3 linked regions of the Drosophila melanogaster genome follow. The main gene of each other region encodes a partner of the protein of the gene in region 3 in a complex. Each region holds a gene or a part of one and is shown on either strand. Other genes may lie near its edges. The genes, in order: ksr, cnk and Dsor1. A codon is read from its position in the direction of its gene.

What was found.
Region 1: the proteins of Dsor1 (region 3) and ksr are in contact, whole or in part, in a cryo-EM structure (PDB 8BW9), measured with the Drosophila melanogaster proteins. Residues at the interface, in NP_511098.1 of Drosophila melanogaster: Gly98 (codon at 4,141), Gly99 (codon at 4,138), Lys123 (codon at 4,066), Asp236 (codon at 3,727), Met238 (codon at 3,721), Ala239 (codon at 3,718), Asn240 (codon at 3,715), Ser241 (codon at 3,712), Phe242 (codon at 3,709), Val243 (codon at 3,706), Gly244 (codon at 3,703), Thr245 (codon at 3,700), Ser247 (codon at 3,694), Met249 (codon at 3,688), Arg253 (codon at 3,483), Leu254 (codon at 3,480), Gln255 (codon at 3,477), Gly256 (codon at 3,474), Ala310 (codon at 3,312), Met311 (codon at 3,309), Ala312 (codon at 3,306), Ile313 (codon at 3,303), Phe314 (codon at 3,300), Leu317 (codon at 3,291), Asp318 (codon at 3,288), Val321 (codon at 3,279); in NP_001287177.1 of Drosophila melanogaster: Gln767, Tyr828, Asp830, Met831, Gly832, Leu833, Gly834, Val835, His837, Arg849, Ala850, Leu851, Gln852, Asp888, Gln889, Pro890, Ala891, Glu892, Ser893, Ile895, Trp896, Gln897, Gly899, Arg900.
Region 2: the proteins of Dsor1 (region 3) and cnk are in contact, whole or in part, in a cryo-EM structure (PDB 8BW9), measured with the Drosophila melanogaster proteins. Residues at the interface, in NP_511098.1 of Drosophila melanogaster: Arg200 (codon at 3,835), Gln255 (codon at 3,477), His258 (codon at 3,468), Gln262 (codon at 3,456), Tyr319 (codon at 3,285), Val321 (codon at 3,279), Asn322 (codon at 3,276), Glu323 (codon at 3,273), Pro324 (codon at 3,270), Lys347 (codon at 3,201), Gln348 (codon at 3,198), Asp350 (codon at 3,192), Glu351 (codon at 3,189), Arg352 (codon at 3,186), Ala353 (codon at 3,183), Asp354 (codon at 3,180), Lys356 (codon at 3,174); in NP_001286524.1 of Drosophila melanogaster: Arg46 (codon at 4,249), Tyr48 (codon at 4,255), Arg72 (codon at 4,327), Tyr76 (codon at 4,398), Thr92 (codon at 4,446), Lys95 (codon at 4,455), Asn96 (codon at 4,458), Arg99 (codon at 4,467), Arg103 (codon at 4,479), His117 (codon at 4,521), Arg121 (codon at 4,533).

What each region holds. Positions count from the first base shown.
Region 1 is NT_033777.3:5,476,104-5,487,239, forward strand, and holds ksr (kinase suppressor of ras), read right to left. Parts: upstream 7,804-11,136; 5' UTR 7,535-7,803; coding exon 4,634-7,534; 3' UTR 3,887-4,633; coding exon of another isoform or gene 3,743-3,886; 3' UTR 3,680-3,742; coding exon of another isoform or gene 3,530-3,679; 3' UTR 3,470-3,529; coding exon of another isoform or gene 3,284-3,469; 3' UTR 3,219-3,283; coding exon of another isoform or gene 3,015-3,218; 3' UTR 2,940-3,014; coding exon of another isoform or gene 2,783-2,939; 3' UTR 2,287-2,782; downstream 1-2,286. Other genes in the region: Hcs (holocarboxylase synthetase), read left to right, coding at 203-359, 438-1,444, 1,507-1,655, 2,783-2,939, 3,015-3,218, 3,284-3,469, 3,530-3,679, 3,743-3,886 and 2 more; CG31550 (uncharacterized protein), read left to right, coding at 9,536-10,077, 10,132-10,781, 10,948-11,074.
Region 2 is NT_033778.4:17,412,354-17,423,418, reverse strand, and holds cnk (connector enhancer of ksr), read left to right. Parts: upstream 1-3,411; 5' UTR 3,412-3,950; coding exon 3,951-4,008; intron 4,009-4,171; coding exon 4,172-4,335; intron 4,336-4,394; coding exon 4,395-8,846; 3' UTR 8,847-9,449; downstream 9,450-11,065. Other genes in the region: l(2)k01209 (lethal (2) k01209), read right to left, coding at 1,473-1,732; Prosalpha5 (proteasome alpha5 subunit), read right to left, coding at 9,716-10,317, 10,376-10,508.
Region 3 is NC_004354.4:9,244,155-9,252,863, reverse strand, and holds Dsor1 (downstream of raf1), read right to left. Parts: upstream 5,523-8,709; 5' UTR 5,066-5,522; coding exon 4,956-5,065; intron 4,323-4,955; coding exon 3,683-4,322; intron 3,490-3,682; coding exon 3,163-3,489; intron 3,092-3,162; coding exon 2,978-3,091; 3' UTR 2,827-2,977; downstream 1-2,826. Other genes in the region: CG17754 (uncharacterized protein), read right to left, coding at 1-336, 1,835-2,094; amx (almondex), read left to right, coding at 5,803-6,657; Larp7 (La related protein 7), read right to left, coding at 7,141-8,657. UniProt on the Drosophila melanogaster protein: Required downstream of Raf in the sevenless (sev), torso (tor), and Drosophila EGF receptor homolog (DER) signal transduction pathways.

The sequences.
Region 1 (11,136 bases), on a different chromosome or scaffold from region 3:
ATAATGAGAACAGATAGGGACAATCGACCTTCGGGTGACGCCGCAATGTGGACGGTGTTGCGTGCGGTAATCTTATTAAGATGTACATGGTTGAATCGATTAGAGCGCTGGCGTCATACATACATACATACGACTACACTAACTAGGGGTATCCTCTCGTGTGTCCTTTCTTCTTCTTGCATGTCGGCGGCCCATGAATCAGCTGGAAGATTACGGTAAGCTAATTGCTTGGAAAATAGATTCCCACCTGGCGGTGCTCATCGAAACAGACGTCGAGCACTTCACGAAACTTTTGATAACGACTTTCTTGAGAAATAATTTATGCATTAACGATCAGCTGCCACTTTTGCGGATTGAGTGTAAGCTGCACCTGAAATCGTTTTAAGAATTTGACTTCATCTTAAAAATCCCACTGATTTATTGTTTCTCCCTCCCAGCGGTGCAACGGGAAGGGGATCCGCAGCCCTTTGAGCTTCTGGCCAAGCATCTGAAGCGGCAATCCCGCATAAGCGTCGGTCTGGACAAGGATGGATGGAAGAAGCACATGGAGGACTTGCGTGCCGTAGGTGTGCTGGCGCACCAGGCCACCGAGTTCGAGTACCAGAGGAATCGCTCTGAGGGAAGAACGAAATCGGATCCCACCACACATGATCAACGCCCGACTTCGGAGCTTTTGGCCAAGGCTGTGGCCGTGGTGGAGCCCACCAACAAGGCATATCTGTCTCCGGCAAGGACGACAGAAGCCTCGCTCAAAGCCGAGGCCAAGGGAACGTCAACAAAACCTTTTCCGACTAAAAGCGATGCCAAACCCGCCACTCTTGCCAAGAGCGAGGGCACGCCAGCCACAAGCAAAGAGGACTCCAAGTTAACGCCAACTAAGGGTGCATTAAAGACAAGCGAACTAGAGAAACTAGCGGCTGTCCAGGCAGCGCAGCAGCAGAAGAAAGAGGCAGTCCAGGTCTCTCCCGTCAAGGCTGCTTTCTTAGCTAAACCACCTATGCTAAGTAAACATGATGAGCCTGATAAGGCATCAGATCAGCCAACGAAGCCCAGGAAATCCTTTGAGGCGGTAAAGCCGTTAAATTCTCCTCCGTCATCCAGAGCTGCTCCCTCGCGTCCTGTGCTGCAACGCAACAAGGATAGCCTGCAGGACGCAAAACCATTGAATGTTTTGGTCTACTCAGACAGCGCCAGTGCGCGGGAATCCACATTGGCCACTCTGCAGCAGCTGCTGGAGCGCAATGTGTACACGATCTATCCTCTGATGCCTCAGCAAGCGGCTCAAAAATACTGGACGGAACAGACTGCGTTGCTGGTCGTCTGCGGATCGGTGGCACACGGAATTGGGCAGATATTGGTGGACTACTTTCTGCAGGGCGGCAAGGTGTTAAGCCTGTGCTCGGATATACTGCACTTTGTACTCCCCAACTATCGCACAGCGGAGGTAGGACTCTGTTTTGTGGAAAATATACCCAAATTCGCCAACATCCATCCCGTGTTCTACAGGTTCGAGAGCACGAATTGGTTCAGTTCTCCTATGACAAGTGGCAGCGGGTCAAGATGATGCACCACATCTTTTGCTACCAACCGTCGCCGGTGAAGAAGCACTTCTCCACTGACAGCGAGGAGTCCACCAAGTCGCACTCTCGCAAACCGTAAGTAGCTATTGCTGCTCCCATCCAGACTGCCAGTGACCAAAACACATTGCTAACCTTGCCGATCTTCTTAATAGTGCCAATAACAAATAGCCCATTAACTGAGTATCAGTGTATTTGAAACCGAAATGTTGCATGTTTTATACACCCGAAAGCCCTATTCAAGTCGATTATTGCACAGCCGTCGGGTAAATTGTAAAAAAGAGGCCAAGTTATAACGCTTTACTTTTTAGACCCTTGCAGAAGGTATATATCTTCCAGTCAGAAGTTTTCAGGGCTTAAAGGGTTAAAAGGCACTTTCTTCATTCTTGATCAGTTTTACCAGCCAAGTCCGTCTGTTCATCCAGTTTTAAGGATTCTAGCCTCTCAGTTTTAAAGCTGTTTGCATGAAAAGACTTCCTCCTGAAATATGTAAGTAAGAAAAGGGAATAATCGGTCCTCTATTTCTTATAGCTTCCATAGGAATAATCGAAAAATAAATGAAATAAAAATGGAATATATAATTCCCGTTTTAATTTGTATTATATTTTTTCTTGACATATACATATGTAATTTCTGCAAGGGTATATGAACTTCGGCCTGCCGAAACCAACCTCCTGTCTTGTTTCATTTATGTATATTATTACTTTTTCTGAATGGGGCTTGAAATGAAATGAATTAATCCTAATTAATCGTTCTTATACTAAACCGATTCTAACCAATTCCAATTCTCATTTTATTTCTCAAATGTTTCATGCTCAAATTGGTCTCGTTTACTCTAAATATGGCTTAATTTCTATTTGATTCGGTGTGCACTGTAATCCATCTATCTAAACTCCGTTTTCAATCCGCCTAACTAACTAACCTATCTATGTTTTCTGTAAGCTCTCTTAACTCTTGTTTTTTATCGATTGAATGTGCCATCCATGTAATTTAATTGTTTAATTGTGTTATAAACATTTGGCATTTCAAACCTTTTCACCATCCTGCTACGTTTACCTTCTAAATCCTTAAATTTCTGCGTGTGCTTCTATATGTGTGTGCTATCACTATTATAATCCATCCTACCAATAACTAAAATAACAACAAACCAAAAACAAACAAAAATCGAAAAAAAAACACAAATCAAACCACGAAACGCTGCTCAGAGCTCTAGTATGTCCAAGGTCCATGGAACTGAAGGATCTGGCCGGTCACAGCCACAATTTGGATGTCCATGTGCTGGGAACCGAGGAAACCTGGAATACGCCCAGCTTGATGTTGGCCAAAAGCCTGCAGAGCGGCGGAAAGGCCGTCTTCTCCCAAGTAAGTGATTGCTCATGTAAATATAACAAACATATATTAAAAAAAAACATTCCTATGAAACAAAAAAAAAAACAGGTGCACTTGGAAATGAATCCCAGCGAATTTGAATCCGATGAGACTAAGTACTCCATTCTAAAGCAAAACGAGCGAACTCGCCTCGAGATATTTGCGGATCTCCTGGGAAAGTACTTGGATGTGCAGGTCCGCGGTGGAGACGGTGTCGACCAGCCGCAGCCTGGAGTTGTCTACAAGCACGCATATTTCCTAGGTCGGCACGAGGTCAGTTCGTCTCTCCATTTGTTTTGGCATCAGAATCCAATATTCTAGCTCTTTTTGTTATTCAGGCCAAGTTTGAGCTTCTGGAGAAGCTACGTCTGCGCTGCAGCGGATCCGACAACGTGATAGCAACGCCGAACCTGACGATGAAGTTCTGTGGCAAGGACGATAAGCCTCCAGTGGCCAACAACAATGTCCTGCCCATACTCATACATTCCTGTCCGGATGACTTCTCCACCGTGGATTACTTCGATGTGAGCGCATTCTAATTCTAGTCTATAGCAGAATTAACCCAAATTCCTCTTATTTTAAAGAATCTTAAGACGGAACACATCGGACGACTGGTCATCTATGCACCGGTGGTCAGCAGCTCCATGCATCTCATAAACAACCTGGAGCTCATCCACGGCCTGGCTGTGCTCCCCGTGCAGCAGACGTCCGGAGTGGGTCGCAGAAATAATCAAGTTAGTACTCTAGAAGCATCCAGATTTAAGTTCTTGTTGAAATCATCGCTTTGTGCTTTCCAGTGGCTTAGTCCGCCGGGCTGTGCCATGTTCTCGCTGCAGCTGCACCTGACCATGGACAGCGCTTTGAGCTCTCGGCTGCCTCTGTTGCAGCACCTTGTTGGAACGGCGATTGTTAATTCGCTCCGCAGTCATGAAGAGTACGGGGTGAGTCAAGACTGTAAAGTTTTACCATTTAGTTGAATCTTAAGTTAAGATTGTTTCGATTATCTCCGCCTGTGGGACGATGGGACGAACCTCAGGATCTGTAAAACTGCCAAGTGCACAAAGTGATTTTTTAGGTTTAATAAGTTTATTTGACATTTTGTTTCGATTTCGCATTTAAAGTCCATTTACTATATACACTTGACCATACATAATTCACAATATATATTTAATTTAACACTAGTCCGTCATATACAATACATTGCTGCTGTATATACATGTATATATATATATATATATATATATATATATATATATATATATATAGTTCTCTTACACATAATTAACAATTTAGAAATTGCTCACCTGATTAACGTTTACATTTATGTTTGCCACAGTGCTTGTTTGTTTGTTTGTATATGTATGTCTATGCCTTCTCTGTTTGCCTCTGCTCTTAAACATTTAAGCGTTTTGTCTTTTTCGAGTTAACATTTGATTTGCCTTTGTTTCGTTTGCTAACAACTGCAACTGGAGTGCTCCCGATACATGCCTACACATATGTATGTAGTTTTTAAAATGGATTGCTATAATTTGGTAGTTACGTTTATGTATTTACAATCTTCGCTCGGCTCGATAGAACTTCGCCTTGGGAGAGAGTTTGTGTAGAGTGGACGAGGGCACAAAGCGAGCTAGCTTAGTTGGTAGATCGAAATTGTACTAGACAGTGACAGTGGCCATGCTGCAGTTCCCTCAGAACACGGACTCGGCGGAACGGGAAAGGTTGACGGGGTGGGAGGGACTGCGCGCCAGACGCTTCTTGGGAAGATGCTCCAGCAGGGAGAGCAGGCGTGCGAACTGCGGCCGGTGCTCCTTCTCGTAGGTCCAGCACAGCATCAGCAAGTCCTTGACATCCCGTCCAGACTGCAGGTTGGCCAGCGACTGCTTCATCCCACGGCCAACCTGCCAGATGATCGATTCCGCCGGCTGATCCTTGAATGTGAACTCGCCGCAGATTAGCTCGTACCAAACGGTTCCGAAAGAGTAGACATCGGAGTATGGGGTGAACTCCAGACACTCTCCACGCGGCTTCTCCGGCTGCAATGCTCGGATTAGCTCCGGCGCCAGGTAGCACAACCAGTTGTGGGGCACTCCTAGGCCCATATCACAGTAGAGCAGCTTGGTGGAGCTGAACAGCCCAAAGTCCGTGATAATCACCTTGCCGTTCTCGATGAAGATGTTCTTGGTGCGCAGATCTTTGTGGATGATCTCCCTTGCGTGCAGGTAGCCCATGCCCTGGGCGATCTGCTGGGCAATGAGGAGAGTCCGGTTCATGGCAAACTTCTCCCGACGCTGGTGAATATACGTATACAAGGTGTTGCCCTTGCACAATGAAGTCACAATGGCCAAATATGGTGGGTTCATGCAGGCTCCCATGAACAGCACCAGGTTCTCGTGTCGAGTGTTCTTGAAGTTGGCTACCTCGCTGCGAAACGTCTCCAGCATGTGTTCGTCTTGCAGATAGTCCTCGTTGAGCAGCTTAACCGCCACATCTCCGTGCCAAAGGGCTCGATGCACGGTGCCGAAGCGTCCCTGCCCTATCCGCTCGAGCAGAAGCAGATCACCATACGGGATGTCCCATTCCTTGAGTGAGATCGAGTTCTGGCGCCATTGTCCCGAGTCTCCGTCTTCCGTTGAATCCACACGAACGGGTGTCCGGTCCGAGTCCGTGCTGGCACTTCCAGACAAGGAGACTGTCTTGTCGCTGTCATTTGACTTGTGGGTATCCGTGTACTCGCTGGTGAACGGCGTCCTCTTATCCACACCGGCTGTGCTCAATTTTCGCGGAAAGAAACTGCAGGTGCTGGTGGTGGTTGTGCTATTGACCAGACTGCCCGTCAAGGTGGCCGCAGTAGAAGCGTTTGAAGTTTGGCTACCGATGAGCGAGCTCATGTGCCCGTTGGAGCTGCTCACCAGACTATCAAGTCCTCCGTTGGCTGTTGCAGGCGCCGTGGGGAATTGCTCTGGCACTGGTTCATTGGAGATGAGCGATACACCACCGCTTCCGCCACTGCTCGTCACCGTCACGTTGGGAAAGTTGAATTGACTCGGCTGGTGCTTGCCAAGCGAAGGCGTAGGTAACAGATTGGCGCTAGAGCTGCTGCCCGCCTGATCCAGCTCGCGCTCCCTTTGCTGGAACAGCGCCGGACTGCTGGGCGTGGAACTAGTGCAGCTGGAACTCGGCGAACTGCTATCGCCGTGCTGCTGATGCAAGGGCTTACCCAGGGTGCTCTTTTTTACCAAAGGGGATCCTTTCGCCGCGCCATGCACATGCGGCAGACTGGCGTATCCTCCCTGCTCCTTTATGTGCCGAAACTCGTCCACATATTCTCGTGGAAGTCCACAGGAGGGCGGTACGTGCGGTGCGCATGACTTGTGGCAGATGTACTTGCAGTCGGTGCACTTCATCCAGCGGTGAAAGACCTGCTTCTGGCACAGGGTACAGGTGGCCATGAAGCCCAGGGCCTTGGTGAAACGATGCTTGATTGCATGACCCATGCCCACGTGACCCACGCCCGGAGAGCATGGCACCATAAGCACGTTCGAGGAACTTCCTCCGGAGCTGGCATTAGTATTTGGGTCCACAAAGATGTCCGAGCTGGTGGAGCTGTGGCTATCGGGGCTGGGATCAGTGGGCAAACGGTTGCGGGCTAATTGCTCCCCGTCCACTTGCACATGACTCTGGCTCAGCAAGGTCTGGTGCTTTCTAGCTGGCGGCGGGGTACCACGACTCCTCTGTGGTGTTCCATTAAGGCTGCTGCTCAGCCCACTGGAAGGCGTGAAGGGCGAATTGGGTGGCGAGGGCGTAAGGGTTAAAGTCAGCTGGGAACCCTGTGTGCTGTTCAGCTCTTCTGTCGCTGAGGGCGATTGGCGGCCACTTTTGAAGTTGGTGGAGTTGGCCAGAGCGGAATTCTTTCCCTTGACACCATGCTGGCGATGATGGGTTCTCGGGGAGGCGGTTGAATTGTTACCCAGTCCAATGTTTCCCACACTGCCGCGATGAATGTGGGTGGGCCTGTCCCAGGAGTCCCAGTGCCACTGCTCTGGATCGTTGTTGCTAGCCGCAGTACCGCTCTCCAGCGACTCCATGCACTTCCTTAAGTTCTGCATGGCCCTGGTCAGGCGTCGCAGTTCCTCCTCCTCTCGCTGGCTGGGGCTGTCAGCCAGGAGTTGACGGATCTCCTCGTCGCTGAGACGCAGGCTTTGCTCTAGAGTGGTCAGGCGAGCAAGGCAGGCGGTAAGAGTCCCCTGGCTAAGGCCCACTACGCGCAGCCATTGCCTCAGTTCGTTGCCCGTTGTGTGGGGCACAAGCCCGTTGGCCGGGATGCGCTCATTTAGCCGCATCTTCGCCAGCAGCAGCTCGGAGAAGTATCGCACCAGCTTCGACTCCAGGCAACGAATCTCCTGCTGCGTCAGCGTGGAGCTGATCGCGCACTGCGTTCGCAGGCCCTCCAGATGGTTGGCCGAGAGATCAATCATGTCCTGAATGATAACCAGGTTGCTGTCTACGGACAGCGAACCGGAGATGGGATCGTTGGCATTGGTGGAGCCCGTGTCTGGAGCCGATGCGGGTGCGTTGTTGTTGCTGCTCATCCTGCTTATTCGCGACGGAGTGGAGCCCGATTGATTTTTTCAGACGCCCCCTCGGGGACTCGACGATTCGATGGGACCAATGGCTGGGACTCCGCCCCGCATTGTGGCCCTCGCCAAGCGACCTTGACGTTCGGTGCTCCGGCTATCGCGCACGCTAACGCCCGCAACTCTAAACGGCTTAGGCAATGCGAAAAAGCAATAATTTGTACAAGTTCCTCGGCTGTTGTTGAAATTTCTCTACACCCAAGTAGCGCATCGAGAGAAGTGTGACCATACCCGGGAGGACTCCTTCTCACTGCACACCAAAATGTACTAAAAGCACTTATCCGAAAAACTTAGGGGCACTCCTCTGTATTTAAAAAAAATAGAACGTTAAGTATTATTATTCTTATGTTGTAATTATATTATGTCTTCGAGTGTATATAGCATATATATTTCAATTCTATTTGAAAAATTAATCCAGAAATTATTTTCACATTTTTATTTTATTAGTCGAAATAAGTCAAATATTTTAATATTTATATTTTATTATTTGGAAATGGAAATTAGGTAGATATTATTTTAATATTTTAATTTTATAACTAAAAATAATTTTTTTAAGTTAATATTTGATGTTCCAATTTATATTTTATGATATGTAATATTACGGAGATAGGCGAGTTTTACTTAATTTATTCATATCACCTTCAGGTGCTGGATATTTCCATTAAGTGGCCGAATGACATTTATGCAAATGGAAATCAGAAAATTGGGGGCCTCGTCATTAATACCACACTTCAGGGATCCCAAGCCATCGTCAATATCGGAAGTGGAATTAATTTGAACAATTCAAGACCAACAGTTTGCATCAATGACTTGATAAGAGAATATAATACCCGTGTCCCGAACAACAAGTTACCTATACTTAAGTACGAGCTACTTATTGCCATGATATTCAATGAAATCGAAAGACTTTTGGGAGAAGTACAAAACGGAGACTTTGATAGTTTTTATGCATTATACTATTCGCTATGGTTACACAGGTAAATTTAAAACATTTTTAAAATACATTTAATTTGCATATTACATTTACTAACATGTTTTTATGTACAGCGGGCAATCTGTTAAGATTTGCCTACAAAAAGATCAGGAAAAAGAGGCCGAAATTGTGGGAATCGATGACTTTGGATTTTTGGAGGTGAAATTACCAACTGGTACTATAGAAATTGTGCAGCCCGATGGAAACAGCTTTGATATGTTGAAGGGATTGATTATACCCAAGTATCAATAGTGAAATGAAGCAGATGTGAAAACTCATATTATTCCCCGAACCCTCTAGTTTAATTGGCCCTTAAGCAACTTGTACTTTTTAGGCAAATTTAGGTCAATTTATAACTACGTAAAAACGTTTATCCTTATAAATATTTACAAGGTGATTCTTCTTAAGTGGCTTTACGAAATAATAATGGATAATTTAATCCACTAAATTAAATACTGCCAAAGAGAATTATATGTTAAAGGAAGTCTCAAAATATTTATAATGACAGGTACATTTGTTTGTTCCCTATAAACCAGTGTTTGGAAATTACTTCGTAAGATAATCGCGTTTGTTACCATTGTTATCGCCATCGATTCCTCTGCATACGGGTGTTTTTGAAATTTGAATTTAATAAATACATATTCGATCATTGCTGACCTTAGACCACTGAGATTAACTGCCGCACAGGTCTTATCTTAAATTTAAGATGGATTTTTTTATTACATAATTTTTTTATTCTAAAATTGTTTATTTTATTATTCTTCTAAAATTTTTTTTTGAACTGAACTTTCATTAGAAAGTTATATTTTTTAAAATTTTTTTGAACTGAACTAAAGAGAGCTTGACAGTGTAGTTTCCTATAAAATTGTCAACACTGGTGATGCGAAGACTTGGTATAATTCCAAGTATGTGAGTTGGTTACACTGTTGCTTTGCTGGAAAAGAAAATTGTGGAATAAAACGGAGTCTGCGGCATTGGGAATTATGTCACAGCGAAATCACAGAGTGGACCGCTTCGCCCAGATGACAAAGCAGGAGGAGATCATAGCCAAGAAACGGCAAGAGATCCTCGAGAAGCAGAAGACGGCACAGCTGGCGAAGGCGGTGGCCGCGGCGCAGAACTTGGCAGCGCAGCTGAAAACCGAGACGACTGTGGGAAAACCCATTGGCAACGAGGTGGAGTATGAGGAGGATGCCCGATACCTGGACACCGCCGTCCAGGACACCTCTCTAGCGGCCGGCGAGGATGGCCTGGAGGCTGTTCACATTGAGGCCACGGCCAGCAAGGGAAAGACGGAGGACGCGGTGGCCCCCAAGACGCTGAATAGCTTCACTGGCAAAACGGGCAAGATCACATTTGGCATGAAGCGTCAGCAGCTGCCTCAGCCCAGTGTTGAGCAGCCACCACCGAAGGTTAAAAACACTTTCTGCAACGATGGTTCCTTTTTAGAGAACTTCAAGAAAATACTCGAAAAGCACGAAAAGCCTCCGCAGCCCTTGATTGTTCCGCCGGTTCCAGTGCCCAGGTGAGTCCACTATCGTAAAAATATTAATGTATATTAATTTGTGGGTAATTATAGCGCCGAGGAGAACAAAGCCGTGGACACGGAAACAGCAGAGCAGAACAACAGTCCCCAGCTAGAGGCGGCCATCGCCATAAGCTCGGCAGCAGCCATGGCTACCTCCATTACGGTGACCAGCTCGGCGCCAACTCATTTGGCTTTTGGACTACCCGTGCAAGCAGTGCAGCCACCACCGCCGCCTCCATTTGCATTCAATCCTACGCTTTTGCAACAGGGACCACCGCAGATGCAGCTGCCAGCTGCATTCTTCCACGGCCATTTGCCTCTGCACTTGCATCCGGCGGCAGTTGCTCCTCCGCCACCTCCACCGCCTCCACAGCTGCCCATCGCTCTGACCAACATGGGACAGATTTACATGCAGCTTGGTCCGTCTCCAGTGGAGGCTATGCAGCTGAATGCCATACCGGCGCCCAAAGAGTTTGACTTAAATGCCATACCTAAGCCACAAATAAATCTGGAGGCTATCCAGATGCCCAGCATCGGTGGTCATTCGACGGAGCAGCTTGGCCTCCTGCCGGACCGCATGTCCATGCCAGTGAATCCACACCCACCGCCTCCGCCGCCACCTGTAGTGGAGGAAATGGAGCAACAGCGCCAGCAGGTGGCACCTCCACATCCACCTCAGCCCACAGCTGCGCCGCCACAAGGTGTGTAACACTTGCAAAACAGTCCTCGTTGCCTGTTTTGATTTGCCATCTCCATTCCCTATCCACATCCAATATATACTCTCATTCTAACCACATCCAACTTCCTACTCATTCAATTTGTATAGAACTTTAATCGTTGAGCACGATTTTAAAGCAATTTATGTAGTTTTTTCAGAAACGTGCATACAATTGCCAACGTGCTTAGAAAACCTAATCGCACTGGTCGCGGAAAATGGTGAAGATTATGAAGATAAAATACGTTTGCATAGAAGCGAGTTGCATCCGGCCTTGTGGTAAATGACCTAAACATGTTTTAACTGGGACTAGTGGTAGTAGATGCACATAAGGGATGGAC
Region 2 (11,065 bases), on a different chromosome or scaffold from region 3:
ATGCAAGCTTAAAGCTATAAGTTCAAGGATGCAGTATACTCACTGACCTACTCTACTTTAACAGCCCCCATCTGCACACGTATTGACACCCACACAAACGCGAGAAACCAGGCATATCGTCGACGTAAAATTAATCTACTGCTCAATATGTTCTATAAATAGACAAGTTACTTGAGGCCTTAATTGAATGTGATAGAAGATAACATCGTTACGTATTATCAGGTTAATTCTTATATGGCTTTCAATGAGAACAGCTAATACGTTACATTTACAGCTCCCTTTATAAATCACGTTGGTATAGCAAAAGTATTGCAGGAATATGCAGTAATATGATATGGGAATATTTGTGATTTGGCATGAAATACGATATGATCATGATGGGTTGATATCTAATACTAGTAAGTAATATCTAGAAAGAAGTTGGCCGTTAAAACAATAATAATAGACAATAACTAGGGCCAAGTACATGCAAAAACACTCATCATACAATTCTGGGAAGATTTCAAAAATAAGAAAACAGGGGCCGGCAGACAAAGCAACGCTAGACGTATCCATTTATCGAATGCTGCGTAGGCGCGTTCGTTGCACTCATTCTTTCCGCCTTTCTCTGTATCTTCTGCTCTTCATTTGCGTACCAAAATGAAATTCACCACACGGAAAGAAAAAACTGAGGATATATTTTTTTAGAATTCTGCAGAAGGTCAAAAAATGTTGTCAAAATTTTAGAACAATATTTATCATAACATAAAAACGATAAATATTAAAATAAGTTTGGGGTACTTGTGATAAAATGTAAATTTAGAAGAATCAAAAATGTTTCATTTTTCTCTCAGTGTGGGGCCAACAATCTGGTGACGCCACAGACGAGATTCCTCCGCATATTTTTAGTTTTTGCACACCAACAAAAGAAGCGAGAGATGAGCGCTTGCCACGTGTGCCGTGCTCTTCCCAAAAAAGGAACCAACAGGTTATGGCCTTCCAGGCGGGTGGGACAAGGACGGCAAGCGGGAGTTTCCTGGCGAGGGAGATGCAGGACATTGGGAGCCAAAGGGAGGCTAAGGGAACTGGAAATGGCAAACGTGGCTCATGTGTGTTGTTGTGATCGCTGCCATGTTGAAGAATCGAGAGAGCACTTGCTGACGCTATCATCGTTTCACCATTTGTTGTTACTTGCCGCGCGGCAGACTCAATAAACAATGTTAAACACAGCAAGCGTTAATTAAACACTGAGAATAGAAAGAGACGTCGCGAAACGGGAGACTGGACAAACAAGCGCAGCACCAAAACAATTAGAATGGCGGTAAATAACACACACAACAGAAACAACAAAAAGCACTCAAATACAAACACACACACACAAATATGCCTCTCTACAAATGAATGTACAAACATACATATATGAACGTCTGGTATGTAAAATGGGACTTCGATTGGTTTTTACGTTAAGAAATGGGGAAAATGCAATGAATTACATGTGACCATTGGTTTTGGCTGCTATAGCCTTAACCTTTGACTGCTGATGATGCTGTTGTTGTTGTTGCTGCTGCTGTTGATGTGGTTGCTGAAGTAGCTGTTGCTGCTGGTGGTTTGCGATGGTTAGTAAACCGGCGGATGCGGCTGCAAATGCTGAGTTCGCTTTTGCCCCTTTTGGAACATCGTTATTGCTACTATTAATGCTGTTGTTGTTGGTGTTGTGGCCCGACTTGCTGCACAAAAACGTGATGCTGCTCATTTTTAGCCCGATCCCGATCTGCCAGCGATTTTGAATCACTCAGTCCGTCGGCGTGGGCGTGAGAACTTGGATGTGGAGGCAGCAAGAACACAGCAACCGGCGATGCCAAGCCAAAATGGGTCACTCACTCACACAACGCTCACGCGAATCGCCGCCGGCGTGGATCACATGTGATTTAGAGTTTTTATTTCGTACGCAGCGATTCACCTTTTGCGTTGCGGCCAATATTTATTCGATAACTAATGAAAACAAAAAATTAAGCCAAAGGTGTAGCGAGAAGTGCGAGGTGAGCGGCGTTTGGGGATTGAATGACAAGAAAAAGTGTTAAGGCAGCTAAGGTTAAAAAGCTGCGCTGCGCTGCGGTTTCCTCTGCCGGCGTCGTCTCTGCATTGTTGTTGTCGCAAGCCTTCATAGAGGTGGGCATGTGGTACATGAGGTTTGGCGTGACACGACTCAGTCGAAGATGTGCTCTACATTTTAGCCAAATTTGCATAACAAATGTCTCTTTTACTTTTGTTAAGTGAAGGATATTTAATTTGTTAGAGAAAAAAATATTCTAATTTTTAGGCGCATAAAATCATAAAATATTTCACGCTACATATACTTATACACAAGTAATTTTTTATAGCATTCCACGGATCGCACCAAAGTTATTTTAATAATGTTTCTGTGGTATGAATATTATTTTTTCAAACTGCAACATTACAAGTTACTCGCTGACGCGCCCATCCCTAGCTTGTAACTGTTCTCGCAGGGTGTTCGCTTTGCCTTCTCTCTCACACTCTCTTCCGATCCGATGCAACCGGCGACTATATCGAAATTGAATTTATCACATGTTATGCGTTTGCACATGTAGTGGTGTTTGCGAACGCAGGCCCTATGCCATTTTCCCAGCATTTATTTATATTGCGTGATTAGAGGCCCCACGACGCACACATGTAAGTAGGTACGTACGTACATACGATGAATGACTTGGAGCACATGCTCTTTAGATATGTTTGTGCGCGGGTGTGTGTGTGAGTGTGTATCACATTCTAATGACTTCTGTTGGATTTTCACACTTTACTTTTGGCCGTGCGTGAATTAATGCGGCATTAAAAAGTCGTTCGTTACCTGTCGGAGCTAGCGGAACTCGATGGGTTGTAGAACTTGATTTGTTTCGTCTGGGTCACAGACATTTCGACAAGAGAATAGTGATTGCAGCAGCCAGTTGCAGCGATTAGAAAAAAACACGCGGTGATTTACTTCGTCGTGCCTCTCCCTCTCCGAGCAAGTGACTGATTCGTTTCTGAAGGCATTGCGTTGGAAAAACGTGCGCCGCCTTCGTATACATACATATGTATACATCTACCCGAGCTTGAATGGTCAAGTAAAGTGCTAATTGTCAGCTGGGGAAAGGCACTGGAGCGGAGGGACGCTCATTGCCTTGTTTATCTCCATTTGATGCTGTCATTGAGGCATTTATTTATATGTTTTGGGGCAATTCAATTCCATTCGCAAGGCGCTCAGCTGTTTGATTGGGGCGGCGACAGTGTTGCGAAGCGCTGTTGGCTGTTGGGTTGCAGTAAATTCGAATGTGAATGGCTAAATCCGAAGCGGGGTTTTTAAATGTTTGATAATTATTACTTCGAGCTTGTGTCAATATAAGTGAATATTTTACATAAAACTTTGTGGTTTCTAAAAGATTAGCTTACAACATGATCTTTAGGTACTAACAAATAAAAGGTTGTAAATAGCGGTAGTGCTCGGAAAATATATCAACATGAGACAATTACCAATTCGATTATTTTTTGTTGGTCCTCTATCGATAACTGTTACTCTTACTCTCTTGCACTGCAAGCCAAATTCATATTAATTAAGACTATAAAAATAAACACATACAGAAACATGTGGCTGTTTCCTGGCTATCTTGGATGGAGAAAGTAGTATGTAGTAGTATCATAATTTATAGTTTTCTTTCCTCTTGTTCTGTCCCTTAAAGAAACTTTGAATAAATTGCATTTTGTTCAGTTTTAAAATGCATTAAATAATCGATTGCCACGCTAGTTCGATAGTATTTAACGAGCACCGAGTATTGTTCGAGCTCTAAAAGATGGTCACTCCGGACCAGAGAGACGCAACAATATAGCAATTCTGAACTTGGTTCGAGTGTTTTTGCAGCACGAATTGATAATATGCCGTAGGTGCGGCCCAGCGCGGATCATCAGCAGCAGCAGCGATGGCCTACATCAACATCGCCGAGTGGACGCCCGACCAGGTCACCGACTGGATAAAAGGTAATGCTCGAGGTCAAGGAAAGCGCAGCTGAGAAAAAAAAAACTGCATCTCGCAGCCACTGCCCCAAAAAGCAGCAGCAACAACAAGTGCAACAAGAATTTCCGCTTTGTTCAAGGTTTCAACAGGCACATCATAATAATTATGTTTTCCTGATTCTCGCAGGTCTGGATGAGTCTATGAAGGGGTATTTGTACGAGTTCTCCAAGCAGGAGATCGGCGGACGGGCGTTGCTCAACATACGGCCATACGAGCTGGAGAATCTGGGCATGCTGCGCATTGGCCATCAGGAGATCGTGCTGGAGGCGGTGGAGAACTTAAGAAACTTCGTGAGACCCCAAACAAATATTGTGACATACAAACCCGTTAATTGAGCTTGATATTCCAGCATTATCACCTGAAAAACGACAATCTGCAGTTCATGGCCTTGCATGTGGCCACGGCAGCTAAGAATCTGCATCGCGAACTGGCCAGGAATCATGCGGAGAGCACTAAGATCGATACCCGGATACTGCACGATATTACCAGGACGATAGCTACTCTAAAGCCATTGGTGGGCAGCCTGGAGCGAACACCGTTCCGTAAGCAGGAGATGTACCGCGAGTATTGTGGCAATGTGCTCAAATGCGGCCTGGAGCTGGCCACAATTGCCCACCGTGATCGTTTTGCCCTGCAGCCGGTGCCAGCGATTCGACAGTCAGCGGAACGGCTCGAGAATCTTGCCAACTTTGTAATCCAGGACATATCTGATCCCATGGTACTGCAGCCAGCCTCTCTGAACCTTGTCACCCTTAAAAAACGCGAATCCGAGTTGGGTTTCAACATAGAGTCCAGTTATAATGGCATTCACCGTGTCACGGATATCAAGTACAACTCGCCAGCTCACAATTCCGGAAAAATCGAAGATGGCGACGAGATTGTGCAGATCAACTACCAGACCGTTGTGGGCTGGCAGCATCGCACAGTACTGGAGCATCTGAGGGAAGCACTTCCAGATGTGGTGCTGACGGTGAAGAAACGGCCGAAGCACACAAAGATGTTTGGACAGATCTATATGCAGCCGTACAGGTTGCCCAGCAAGAAGAGGAATATGGCCGCCCGCTGGGCGGCACAGATGCCAAGTCCCCGTGCTGCATTTTTAACCCTGGACACGGAGCAACTGGCAACAGGAGGAACAGGAAGCGCGGTGCCAGATCCCAGTAAATCCCTAAGCAGTGAGAAGAGGGAGGTACTTACCAAGGCCAATCCAGTGTCCTCTGCCTCCGACTCTGATTCCAGTTGCAGTGATATTCCAACACCAACGGATCCCAAGCTAGCCGCACGGGAGATCCGTTTGTATTACCCAAAGCCAAGAGCTTTGCTCCAACGAAGAAACACTATTTGTGGATGCGAGTATCTTAGCCTGAAAAACTCGGATCTAGTCGTTCCATCGTGGCACGAAAGAAAGCCAGGAATTGGTTCGCCCACCAATTGCGACCCTGGCTCGCCCAGTATACGGGATAAGTCGATATCCTTCGGTTATGGCCTAGAGATGGCAGCAAGGCCGACCACTTGCATTGGGATTGCGGGCGATACCTCCACGGACAAGGCCAGGCGAATGTTTCATGAGGCGCGAAAACTAAAGCAGCTGACGGAGGACTCGCAGCGCGAATTCCTCGTGGATCGTTACAAGCCGGGTGTCAGCAAAGTAGTTCGGTTCGACGCCAAGGAAGATTATGTGATGAAGAATGAAAAATTTATCTGTAACGTTGAGAACACCATACTGGAGACCTTTGAACCGATTCCCTTTGCGGATGAGGGAGACGAGGACGCCTTGGAAACGCTGCGCAACTGCAAAACAGAAAACGCAGAGGAGCTCCTAGAGGCAATTAATCTGGCTACAAAAGGTCAGGACTTGCCCCTGGCCGAGGCCATTAACATGCCTTTGTTGCAGCAAGGTCGAAGGGGCCGATTAGACAAGAGTCATAGTACTCCGGCATACGATAATTCGGGTGAAGAATCGGATACGCCGCCAGCGATTGAGCCAAGAAAGGAGTTCCTGCTTGTCACACCGCCAGCACCGCCACCGCGACCCCGCAAGCAAAGGGAAATGACGCCACCGGCGGTGCCTCCACCTCCACCAAAACCAGCCAGCATGCAGCCGGCTAGTAGTATCACCAGTATCTCCATTCCCGTGCCAGTACCTGTACCAGCCGCAGTTGATCCATCGGAGATCAGTGAGCTTCATACGCCCAGCAAATCCCGGACACTGACCCTTAAAAAGAAGCACAGCTTAATGGCCAAGCGGCGGAACACAAATCTCAAGCTGTTGGGGACTGGGGATATCCAAGGTCATCTGTACAGGCGCAAGAAAAATCATCGCGGAGTGACTTACTGGGCGAGAATCTATTTCGTGATGCTGGATACGATACTGTACGGATTTCGCAGTAAGCAGAGTACCAGCGCCAGCTTGGTAATATTTTTACCGGGCTTTACGGTTTCATTGGCAAAAGAAGTGCACTCCAAACCGCATGCCTTTAAAGTTTACCACACGGCCAAGAGCTTCTACTTTGCGGCCGAGTCGCTGGACGCACTTAACCAATGGGTGGACTTCTTGCGCCAGGCTTCGCTCAAAGTGCCGCCTAGTACGGGTTCAAAAGGCGGTGGTGACGCAAAGGATTTGTATTCGGAGAACGATAGCTCAGGCGAGGAATGCGATGCCCTTGTGATCCAGAATTTAAGCACGCCCTCGCCGCAAGGCAACAAGGAGTCAATGTCCATGTCGATGACACTATCTGGCGGAACACCACCTTCCTCTGCACCCATTAAGCATGAACGCGGCTACTTGGACTCGTTTCGCAAATTTACGAATACATTCAAGAGCAGTGCAGCGAAACCGTCGAGCGACATCCCTGTGCCAACGGAGCAATACCGCAGCTATAGGAAGGTGCCAGGCGGAAGTTTTGGCATTCAGATTGGTGCCAATACACCGGGCTACCATGATCCCGCAATGCCGCCGACACAGATTCCACCTTTGGTGGGTCCTAAACTGTCGCGTAGCTCAAGTAGGAGTTCGGTGGTCAGTGGAACCGAGTCTGCCGTATCATTATCTGCTTCGATTCTGGGTCCGCCCGCGTCGCCAGCGCCAACGCCCACGCCTACAGCCACTCCCACATCGCTGCAGCATCAGAGCTCCGAGGAGAGTCCAAGTCAGAGCCAGAGCCAGAGTCCCAGTAGCAAGTCGAGTTTGAAGAAGGCACCATTCAACTTCTTGCACGCCTCAAATCCGAATTTGGTGGAATTCGATTTCCATACCTCGAAAACACTACTCCCCAAGATGAGTGTGGGTAATACACTCGACCATGGCCATAATATACAGGGCTTTGTGACGCTTAAGGATCTGATGCTGCGCAAACAGGAGGAGGAGGCCCAGGAAATGTACAACAATCGAGTGCACTTGGGTGTGGAGAAGCACAAGCACGCACGGACGGAATCCACGGCCAGTCAGCAGAGCGCCATGAGCAGCAGCGTGACAAAGCCGCTGGAAAAGTTGCCCAAGATCCAGAGCGTGAGTCTGCCCAAAACACCCGACTACGAGATCAGTTTTAAGCCTGACGACGAGAGTATTAAGAGAACCAGAACTAAGGAAGGTCAGAAGTTGCGCGACTTTGGTTACGAGCTGATATGTGGGGATGAGCCGAGCACTAGCTCCATCAGCCGGCAAGAGCACCACCATCATCATCATCATCACCAGCACCACCTGCAGCATGTGCAACAGCAGCAGCAGCTACAACATCAGCAGACGCAGCAGCAACATAGCAGCAAGGCCAAGCACTTCTTGCGCTCACAGCAGTTACAGCTCTCCAGTTTCCTGCACAAGAACAGCAGCGGCGGCAGCGGCAAGAGTTCCGGATCCGGTGCGGATCAAAAGAAGTCCAAAGGAAAGTCTAGCGGCGATCGTCGGTTTCCCTTTTCCAAGCACTCAACTGGCTCCGCGGGCAGTGGCTGTGGGCCGGGTCATGCGATGACTATGACGCTGCCGCTGAACAAGAAGTCCAAATCGAATCACGCCTTGGATGGAGCCGTAGGCAATGGAGTCACCATAATCGGCAGCGGCAGCAGCATCAAGAAAAGCCAGACGTACAATCAGGATCTGCGAGACAAGATAGTGGGCACCAAGTACGATGCGCATCGCAAGAACTCGGCCCCGATACCAATCTTTTCGAAACTCTCCATATCGGGTGGCACGCCGGCGAAGCCCTCCAAGGAGAATCGTTTCCTGGGCTCACCGCTGCTGCATCGCACGCTGTTCGGGCACCATCACCATCAGCAGCAGGCAGTAACGCCACCAAGCAGTGCGGATCCCGATTGCGATCAGGAGATCTTCTCCCAAATCACCCTGCCCACGCACAATCAGGCGGGATATCGAAGTTACCGTGGACCTGGCATACTAACCACCTCGACCACTAATTTGTGCTCGTCGGAGGGCTTGCAGCCGCCGTTGCCCCCAGCGCCACCGCCTCCCGTCAACACCAGCAGGCAGAGAGAGGAGGAGCAAGCGGAGGCAACGATATCAGAGTGTGCGGCCACCCCAAAAGTGTCCAGTTCGGGATCTGTGGATTCGAAGGCGGCAACGCCGGACTATCCAAATATGGAGTGTCCGCCTGTCTTTGAGCCGGAAATCTACTCGCTCAGCGATACCAGCTTGTCCCGCATCGTGATGCGGACGCCCAGCAGCAGTGGTGCCACCAGTGCCACCGCCAGCACCACCACCACCAACAACAACAACAACAATAATAACACCAATAACAACACCAACACCAACAGCAGTCCCAGTGGCGGCGAACACCATCAGACCTAGATGTGTGATGAAAACTATTGTGAATGCTCGCGGGGATTAGCCCCCGTTTACTTATGTATTTATACACACGCATATAGATATATATATATATATTATATATAGCGATATTCTCGTACGATTTAGGTATACAACTTGTTCATTTTGATCGTCTTCCCTGTCTGTCCACCAGAAACAAACACACGCATACCTGCAATCCCTTCGATTCGAAACCCACTTAGATGTAAATGTTTAATCTGCCTTATTTGCATTGTATTTCGGTTCTAGGCAAAATGTTTTACACATGTAGTCACGCAAGCAAAACAATGAATTATAGCGAAAATGGAGAATAACTTTAGAAGTCTGTGCATCGAACAAAGACGGTTCTTTATGATTTGCCTTTGTACGCGATTAACCAAGTTAATCCGAGCTGTTTGATTTGCTCAACAGTTTGTGTCTAGATTGCGTGTAATATACATATATTATTATGCGAAATGAGATATTATTGTAATGGCATCCAGCGACGCCAATGGAGCCAGAAATGTTGTAGCGGAATGCAAGAAATATATATATACACAATTACACGAAATATACATGCATACGAATAAAGTCAACTGTACATAATAGAATAACGATCTTTTTATTTTGGGATTTTTCAAGAAACAGGTTGTTTCATTAGAGGAGGATTGAAAATCTTTTTATGCACGCAACTTATTCAAAGACCTAAGAAATGAGAATCTCTGGACAGAAGTGCTGAACCCTGCTTCTTTTTACTAATGTAACCAAATCAACTTGATCAAAACGAGTATTACCTTCTATTATTAGTTCGATTTAGAATCCCTTTCTTTATTCACATTACATTTGAAATTAGATCAATTTAAAACCACTGCCGCTTACGCAATGTTCTTAATGTGCTGCTCCACCTCCTCCTTGGTGAACATGTAGAACTCTCTTTCTTTCGTCATGGTCATCACCTCCACATTGGTGGAGTTTAGTTTCTCCTCCATAACCTGTTTAAGTGTGTTGAGCGAAATGTCGATAGCCTCATCGAGAGTCAAATCGGGTCTAAATAAGTCCTGCAGATTCTGCTGAGCACCTTCGCTGCCCGAGCCAATGGCCTTGGCTCCGTGGCGCACGAATGTGCCGGAGGGATCCATGTGCCACAACTGGGGTTGTCCCGCCTCGATGCCGGCAAATAGAATGGCCACACCAAAGGGACGACTCATGGCGGCGGCACCATCGCTGTCGCCACTATCACCGAACTGGATGGCCAAAGTGGACACAGCCTGGGCGCAGGACTCGATGGACATGCGCTCGTTGTAGACGAACCAGTGGTTCTGGCACTCCACGCGTGCCCTCTCGATCAGAGTCCTGGCATCGGCCATCAAGCCGGAGGTGGCGCAACCAATGTGCTTGTCCACCTCCACAATCTTCTCCACAGTACTGGGTACCATTAGCGGCGAAGTGATGCGCTTCTCCACCGCCAAAACCACTCCTGGAATGCAATTTTACCATTAGATCTCCGCGTGTACTTATGGCAGCAAAGAACATACCTTCTGGCGTGCAAATTCCAATTGCTGTGGAGCCCAATTTGATGGCCTCAATGGCATATTCCACTTGGAAGAGGCGGCCCTCCGGCGAGAAGGTGTTCACGCCTCTGTCGTACTCGGAACGCGTGAGAAACATGGTGGGCTGTAATTTAGTTAAGTGTTATGCACGCTGGTTGACAAATAACACTTCGAAAAGGGCTTACTTTTCTATAATTTCCTTAACAAAATCGCAAACAAATGCCGGATGACTTGACGCTGAAATGACTTGCGGATAAAGTGCCGTCTCTGATTATATCGATAACTAGTGCTGCCACATTATTCGATTGATAATATTACTGTACTAAACATGGGTTGGCAGCTCTGCATCAAAATTGGTTGATCTGGCAAGTTTGTCGCTGTTAATTTTTACACATATTTAAATAAAAAATTAAATTGATATTTTAAGTTTTCATTTACAATTACGATCACAAAGAATATTTTGAAGAAGTAAAAGATTTTTAAGGTATTTTCAATATAGTTTTTAGAAATCTTAATCTTATAGGTTTTTGACTGAATTAACTGAAAATAGCTCTGCTGCAATGCCAATCAAGTTTCTTGCATTTCCCGCTTTAATGCCCAAATTGACATGATTGCCATTAAGCCTTTAAATGGTTATATAAGTCAAACAACCAGTTAAGTGTTGGACTACTTCAA
Region 3 (8,709 bases):
TGCGCCAGACGCAGCAGCGTGGTGCAGCTCTGTTGCTCCGCAAAGAAGGCGAACCCAAGGCAGTTGGATGGATGGAGCTGGCGGGCCAGGAAGTTGCAGCAGGCGGTCACCACGGCATTCAGCTGCAGCAGACAGGCGGTGGCCAGCAGCGTCTCCACGGTGTCCTCGCGCATCTCAATGAACCCGGTGTAGCAGTACTGGACCAGCAGATGCAGTGCATCGCCGTGCACTTCACCGAGGGTCACCTCCTGTTCCTTGGTCTCGCGCAGCGATCCCGTGAACATGGCCGAGAAGTAGGCGCTCGACGCCGATAGCACCAGGCGGTGGGCGGGCACCCTGAAAGAGCCAAGTGAAATCCTTGAATTGTGGACACTTTCGCAAGAGTTAATCCGAAAAAAAATATTAGCTTGTGGTGTCACTACTTTCGTGACCGCAACTGTACGCTGGTGGGTTCTTTTCCCTTTGTTTACCATGGCACAGATCGACAGGTTTTCACGATCCAAAACCGGTTGAGTGCAGCGAAATCAAATAGAGCTGCAACTACTGCACTTGGATCGCGAATCGTTGTATCTGTATCTTTCCATGCTGCAGTTTTTGTTGCCTCTCCGTGGTGTTCGTCTTTGTTTCTGAGACGGTTACTTCCCTCTCAGTTGCGTTGCATCGCCATTGTTCGACGAACAAAAACAAAATCTACATAATGGGGACCCTCTGTTTCTCTTTCTCACTCTTTGGAGCTCGAAATGGGGATCTCTTTTGCTCCGTCTTTCTCTTCCCCTATCTTCCTATTGCAACAATGCGCACAGCAGCGGTCACAATAGAAGGACATTAAGGATTTCACTAGTATCTTTGAAACGGATAAATGCAAGTAATTTGTTATTTTTTCACTTTACCAAGATTACTTCCAATCAAGTTTATCCAAACCGATATCATTATTGATGTAATAAACAAATGGTCTGCTTATCGGCACATTTGCTGATAAGCAAACAAGCAAAAAATGAATGGCTCTAGACATAAACTATAGTGTAATTCCAAACAATGCAAAAATAAACGCTGAGAAGTTTACCATTAACGAATGCTAAGTAAACATGCAATAAAACTCGATCGATTGTCAAAATATTGCCAACAACGAATCATTGAGTATTAACCAATACTTTTGGATCTTTTTTAAACTTTGAACTTTTATAGATGCACAGCTAATTCTGTAGATATGCAGCTACTGTCAAAATAATAAAATTCACTAAACTAACTTTGTGCGTCAGCATGCTCACTGAGATAAGTGAATTAAAGCCGACCTAAAATGAGCAATTGTGCAAATAGAAATTAAGTATACACTCAAAAGTGAAAACCAGATTTGTTAAACTCTTTTTTCTTGCAATTATTTGTAAAACAGCTGTATTTGCATTTCTTGGTTGCTATTATTGTGGCCGCAGCTGCATTTCCTGGTTTTGCGTGTTGCTACTATCTTGCGTGTGAGTGTGCGCTGTTGAAATTGCGTTGGGGACAACACAACACAACCACAACAACAAAAAGCAAAGAGAGCAGACAAAGAACCCAAGTGAAGGTCAGCTGGGGCAGGAGGAGGGGAAGGCGGAGGTGGGTTAGGTGGTGGACGGGATAAAGGGGAAGCGGGAGGGAATCGCTAATGAACTTTCCAATTTGAAATGCCATATTCCATTCCTTTGTCTCCGTGGAAAGGGTATGGGGAATTGGCATTGGAAACTAGGAGTTCCATGATCCCGATCCCCGCTGCTTGCCGACCATCGTTCCAACATCGATCGCAGTGATGTGGAACGCCAGGAATCGTAGTTCCAGGATCAGAATTCAGTGCTCTCACCTCTTTCCATCGATGCCAGCGATTAGGACCACATCGCACAGCTGCTGGCTATCCACGTAGAGCTGCATCCGTTTGAGTATATTGTCCGCATGGTCTCGGCAGCGAAAGAACTCATCCTGGCTGCCCGCCGAGTTCAAGCTGCCCAGGCTGTAGTCCCGCGACAGCGATTCCAATGTGTTGTCAGCCAGCATCGATATGTGCCCGGATGTGGAGGCCGTCGAGTCCCGGCTGGGACTCTCCTTCTGGTTCACCGCCGACATGGTTCTTCTTCTGTTCTGGCTGTGCGCTCCTTTTCAGCGAAACGTCTGCATCGGATCACTGGCTGGAAGCAACTGGCTGGCGGCGGTTGGCAGAAGGCGGATCGTGGATCGCGAATCGGTGAGGCCGATGGAGGGGGTGGCGCTGAAAGGTGGATGCAACGGTAATTTGCAACAAAGAACGCTGCCTCTTGCCACAGTGCGCGTACGTCTGTGTGCTGTTGTGTTGGTGTGTTGGTGTCGCCTCCGATCTATTCCACTCGCGATCTTTGAATCGTTTCAATTGGCCGCGAATTGCGTGCTGGATCTGTAACTGTAACTGTATCAAGCTGCACGAGCGCCCGTGTATGCGTTTAGTTTATGTGTTTATATACAAATTCCACAGCTGTTGTGACACACTCTGGCCACACTGAATTGATTTATTTATTTTCTCACAGTGTGACCAAAATACACGCACATCCAAAAATACCTTCAGTATATTTTGTTTGAAATATATATTTTTTTGAGGGGATTCCCATTTAGATCGGCAAATACTTTTTTTTTTTTTTTTTGAATTAATGTATTTCATACAATGGAGTGAAGTCTGAATAAAAATGACAAAATTTAATTGAGATACAATTAATTCGCTTATGTATTCAACCTTTTGCAAGATTAGCAATAACACATTATAATTTTATGCATTATTTTAAAATTAAAGATAATCCTCCAATGCAAATAATAAGAACACCCCATCATACATGGTATGACTTCGATTTCTTTATTTTCGATTTAATAATAATAATAATAATAGTTCAGTTGTTTTTGCCCAGCGTCAACGCTCTATTGAACAAAGAGCAAGTGTGGATATGGGAGGATAGAGAAAATGGGGGCCGGAACGCAGAGGCGTCTAGTTGGGCGACGTATTACGCTTTGGCGTCGATGGCGGCAGGTCCATTGTCTTGCACACCCAGCCGGATATATCCACCTCCTCCAATTCCGCCTTGCGTATCCACGGATGACTCTGCCGAAGAATACATAAAACAACTTGAATATATATATAACTGAAGAAATGGCGACGTTTCGTTTGCTTACCAGCAGGGTCTTGAGATCTGCCCGCTCGTCGGGCTGTTTCTTCAGGCAGATGTCCACGAAGTCCTTGAACTCGGTGGAGAAGATCTTGTGCTCTAGCTTGGGCGGCGGTTCGTTTACAATATAATCCAGCAGCTCGAAGATGGCCATTGCCCTGGGCTCGTCCGTCGGCTGGCCGCTCTCCTCCGCATTGTCGGCGAATATCGACTCCAGGGTGGCGGTGTTTGGCGGCGGGATGGGGTACATGCCGATGGCCATCTCCACCAGCGACAGACCCAACGACCAGATGTCCGACTGCACGGAGTAGTGGGTGCCCTGCAATCGCTCCGGCTGAAACAAAGAGGACATTAGCATGTGAGTTATATAGATCTCTTATAGTTGGCTATATTTAACATCTGTGCATAGATGAGTGCCTTGTTTTGCTATTGCAATGTTCTTTTTTAAATACTTTCGCCGATTTCATCGACCTTCCGTTGTTTAATACACCTAAGTATAGATTTTGATTAGCTATCCAGTTACTTACCGACATATAGCTACGGGTGCCCACAAAGGAGTTGGCCATCGAGTCGATCAGTTGACCGGAGACGCCGAAATCACAGATCTTGATCTCGCCGCTGCTATTGACGAGGATATTGCTCGGCTTCACGTCACGGTGGATGATGGCGTGATTGTCGCGCAGATAGCTCAAGCCCTTGAGCACCGCCAGCGTGATCCTGCCGAGAATGGACTCTGGTATTCGACCGGCCCGCTTGAGGATCAGGTCAAGTGATCCACCGTCCATATACTCCATGCAGATACTGATCTCGCCGTCGCTGTAGAAGGCGCCGTAGAAACCGACAATGTGCGGGAAATTACATTCGTGCAGGACTTTCAGTTCGCGCAGGATCTGTTTCTTGATCGCCGGCTTCACCTCCAGATGGATCAGTTTCCTGGCCATGATCAGGTGTGTGTGCGTGTGCCGGACCTTCATCACCACGCCGCCATTGCCCGATCCGAGCTCGCCCAGCTTCTCCAGATCCTCGTCGGACAGCTCGCCGATCTTCTCCTTCTGGCTGAGGAACATCTTGATCCGCTTGCGTTCCGTGTCGCCCATGTCCAGACCCTCCAGCGTCTCTGTCAGCGCATCGATGCTCGTCTTGGGCTTCCCCAGCAAACTGTGTGTGCTTTAATTTAACCTCTTAATGAATTTTTGCGATCCAAAACGAAAATGTAAAAAGTGCAAGCAATGGATGGGATTTGAAAGTGGGGGATGGGATGAGGGGCGGGCCGAAGTTTCTCCTAATAATAAGAAAACTACACAAACATACACATCAAATTACATATGTATTGTGTTATGTTATGTTGCCTACATTTTGGTGCTCACAAAAAAATATACGATAAAGGTAGGACTATTAAATTATAATTTCTATTTATCTTCGAAACTGACTTTGTCATCCCGTTAATTAATCCAAAAAGCACTAAAACAGTTTACTGTATTTACTCAGTAAGTTTTTTCTCGCTGTGTACCTGTGCGTCACACGAAAGGAGCACCACCCACACCAACAAACAAAGAGAGAGTACCTGCTCTTTCACTCCGACTGTCTCTTTCTTTCCAGCTGGATGGGATTTCCTTGGATCAATTGATGGATATTAATTACCCACCTAACTCGCAAAACTACAGGATTATCTTACCACTGAGTAGGAAACCGAAAACGAGGAGTGGAAGGGGAAACAGCGAGGGAGGGGGGATGCGGTGTTATTGGAATGGGTGGCCTAAAAACCAGTCAGTTATTAAGGATATTATGTATAATATTTACTCTGTGCCCGAGGGGGTTTTGAATGGCGGCGTCGGCGCCACTGTGGCGGCGGCAACAGTTGCCTCCGTATTTACCGGCGGCAGCACCAGATTCAGCTTGTTCTTCGACATCTTACTATATATAATATATATCTCTCGATACCGTTATCCGTTACCGATAAGTTAAAGCACACAACAATAACAACAACAAAAAAAAACTAATAAATGAAACAATACAAATAGAGAGTGTTCCAGTGGAAACAACAACAAAACGCACTACGAACAGCGGCGTCCGACGAACGGCTGAAGGGTGTGAGGGGCGAGGGGCGTCGGCGAGGGGGCGTGCGAAGGGAGGCCAAGTGCGAATGTTTCGTTTTGTGTGTCCAGCCGCTGGTAAATTTGCACCAATTCCTCGCGTTGCGCTTAACTTTAACACACCCGAACCGAGCACACGAACAGCAAACGGATAGTTAATATTATTTTTGCAATAATCAGCCAAAATCGGCGACTTTTGGGTTTTTTTCGCAGACGGTGCGGTATGGCCAGATGTCGCGATTACCAAATACCGTTAATACACTCCTACGACTAAAGCGGCCAATGGTCACAACTTAAATGGAAAGGATATTAGGATTAGATATTACTAATTTGTTACGATGAGGGGAGAGGTATACTTATCTGTTTAGCCAATTTAATTGAGCCAAAACATATCTATAAACTATTCGATACGCTTTTTAAAGAAATTTCTCCTGAGCATTCGCGGTTGATATTTTCATGCCACGCGTATACGGTCACACTCTCCCACCCCACTCATTTTCTTAAAGGGAAAAACAATAACATTTCCGGCGTATTCCCCGCTCTATCTGACCAAAATGAGGCTCCAACGACAGTGCATTGTGGTCAACATGCGATCGGCCATTGTCCTGATCATGATCTTCGTGCTGACGGGGATCAGGAACAGCGAAACGGCCAGCGGTGGCAACCAGATGGACTTATCGGACTCAAAAGGCGATCACAAGGATAACAGCAATGCGAGCAATGGCAATGGAAATGCCAACGATAACGAGGTGTATGTGCCGCCCCTGGTGTCCAGCATGGTGGCCAAGAGTGGAGGAGGTGCCGGTGGACTCCTGGACAACATAACCGCCTACAGCAGCAGCAGCAGTAGCAGTAGCAGCAATGGGAACAACAACATGCTATGCCCGTACGATAAGGAAACGCCCTGTGATCGCCTGCAGTTTCCCTGCATCCGTTGCAACTACAATCATGGATGCATCTACGGCCGGGACTTGAATGTAACCTGCGAGGTGATCAACAATGTCCAGTGCCTGGGCGAACGGAGTTTCCAGCGACAAATGAATTGCCGATACTGCTACCAAACGGAAATGTGGCAACAGAGCTGTGGCCAGCGCTCCAGTTGCAACTCGGCGACGGATAAGCTATTCCGTACCAACTGCACCGTGCACCATGATGTGCTCTGCCTCGGCAATCGATCCTTTACCCGCAACCTGCGATGCAACTGGACGCAGGGCTATCGGTGGAGCACAGCCCTGCTGATTAGCCTCACGCTAGGGGGCTTTGGAGCCGATCGATTCTACTTGGGCCACTGGCAGGAAGGGATTGGAAAGCTGTTCAGCTTTGGCGGCCTCGGCGTCTGGACCATCATCGATGTCCTGCTCATCTCGATGCATTATTTGGGGCCAGCGGATGGCTCACTTTACATATAGTTTAGTTTTACAGGGGTTAATAGGTCATAAGCTAACTTTTCCATTACAGTGTACATAATAACGAATGCAAATATGCAACCATTAGGAATAGCAAGATCTTCTCAAAAACGTGTACATAATTAATTAGGAAATGTATTTTATTAATAATGCCAAAAGTTCTTTTTTGTATCTTTTATCTAGCACAATTCTTTGATCGTATCAATAAATAAGTGAAAGAGAAAATATAACCATCTCTTTCTCGTTCCTGTAAGATCAGACAAATTTGTAAAAATAAATGGTTTGTTTCATTCAGAAGATTTATTTCAATTTCACTAGGAAGTTTCTTTTTTAAAAATTCAATTTGTTTTTACAATATTACTCTAATATTACGAAATCTTGTGCTAGATCTAAATGTATCTTTTGCTTACATTTATAAATTTATATAGCTTATATTATAGAGTTTCCTGAAATGAAATCCAAACTCACCCCTCAACTGAAAGTGACTCAGTCCATGGCGGCCGCCTGCACTTCATCATCGCCATCATCAAACTTAATGTGCTTGCCCAGCATTTTGCCCACTTTCTCGCGACCGCGTTTTTGCTGCACGCGCACCTTTTTCGAGAGTTTCGCCTCGCGATCCTGCTCGATTTTTCGCCAATAGAGCGTCTCCTGCTGGCCAGAGAGCACTTTCAGCTGCCTCTCGGAGCAGTTGACCTGGCGTAGCAGTTCCTCGGCTGCGGCAGGCGTGCCCAAACGTAGTAGGGCCACTTGGTCGCCCTCCTTAATATCCACATATTTAATATCCGGATATTGGCGCATTTCAGCCTTAAATTCTTTAACATTGGTGCATGGTTTTAGCAGGGAGCACTCCACAATCAGCCCGGGCTCGTATTTAAAGAGCGGCGTGCGTTCCTGCGAAGGTTCTTCGGATTTGGTGGATTCCACGCCGCCGGCGCCGTAGAAATTCATGTTCATCTTGTGCACCGCCTTGCGACGCTTGGCTGGCACAGGCGCTGCTTCTACGGCACCTTCACCGCCATCGCTAGGGACCTCGCCTCCGGTTTCCTCCTCTTTAACTGCCTCGGGCAGCTGTGAAGGTTTCGGATGGTTTGGATGACTGGTCTGCTGGTGGTGAGGGTGCTGCTGATTTTGTGGGTGATTTTCTCGCCACAGCTTGCTCTTTGCCTCACTGACGATGCGACGCTGTAGATTCAAGTACTTATTGCGCATACTGCTCCAACTAGTCTTGGGTAGCACCTTGAGCTCCAGGGCACTGGGCTCAATGTTTGGCTTGTCCACGATCGCCTTCTTCTTGCGCTTGCGACGGCGCTTTTTGGCAGCTTCATCGCCATCGGTTGCCTCTGTTTTGTCCTCCTGCTCGGAGGCTTCGGCTGTGCCCTCTGCATCCGTTTCACTCGCTGTTTCCCCAGCTGTAGAGGTCTCGCTAGGCTGGCCCTCCTCCAACTTAACCCGTTTCACCTCGTGTATCTCCTCGCGATCCTTGTCGGTGGCCTCCCTTTTTAGATTTCGCTTTGGCAACTCAACCTGTTCAGCCTCTGACTGCGGCTGCTCCGCTTTCTGTTGTATCTGCTGCTGCTGCTGAAAGGAGCGCACACTGGCCAGATCACTGGGATCGGTTTCTACGGACAAAACGCCCTGTATCTGGGCAAAAGCCTTCACAGCTTTCTCCAAGGACCCGCTCTTTTCGAACTCGATAAAGGCAAATTCCTTGATCTTCTTAGTGCCCGGATAGTGGGGCAGGGACACGTAGGCCACCGGTCCGTAGCGGCTGAATACCTCCTTCAGCCAATCGTGAGTGGCATTTGCAGGCAGGGCCTCTACATACAAGGTTTTGTCGTTGACATCGCGCTGATCTGGTAGCTTGGTACGTCGCTTGACCTTTAGTTCGGTCTCATCCAGCTCCAGAAGCTGGGAGTTGCTTAGTGCCTTGGCTATCTGCTGCACATCCTGGGTGAGCGTCTTTATCTTATTGAAAGTGAGAAAGATTTCCAATGGTACATCTGTAAAAGAATAACATGATCAGTGTTATGTTGGCTGGTGAGCCAACCTTAG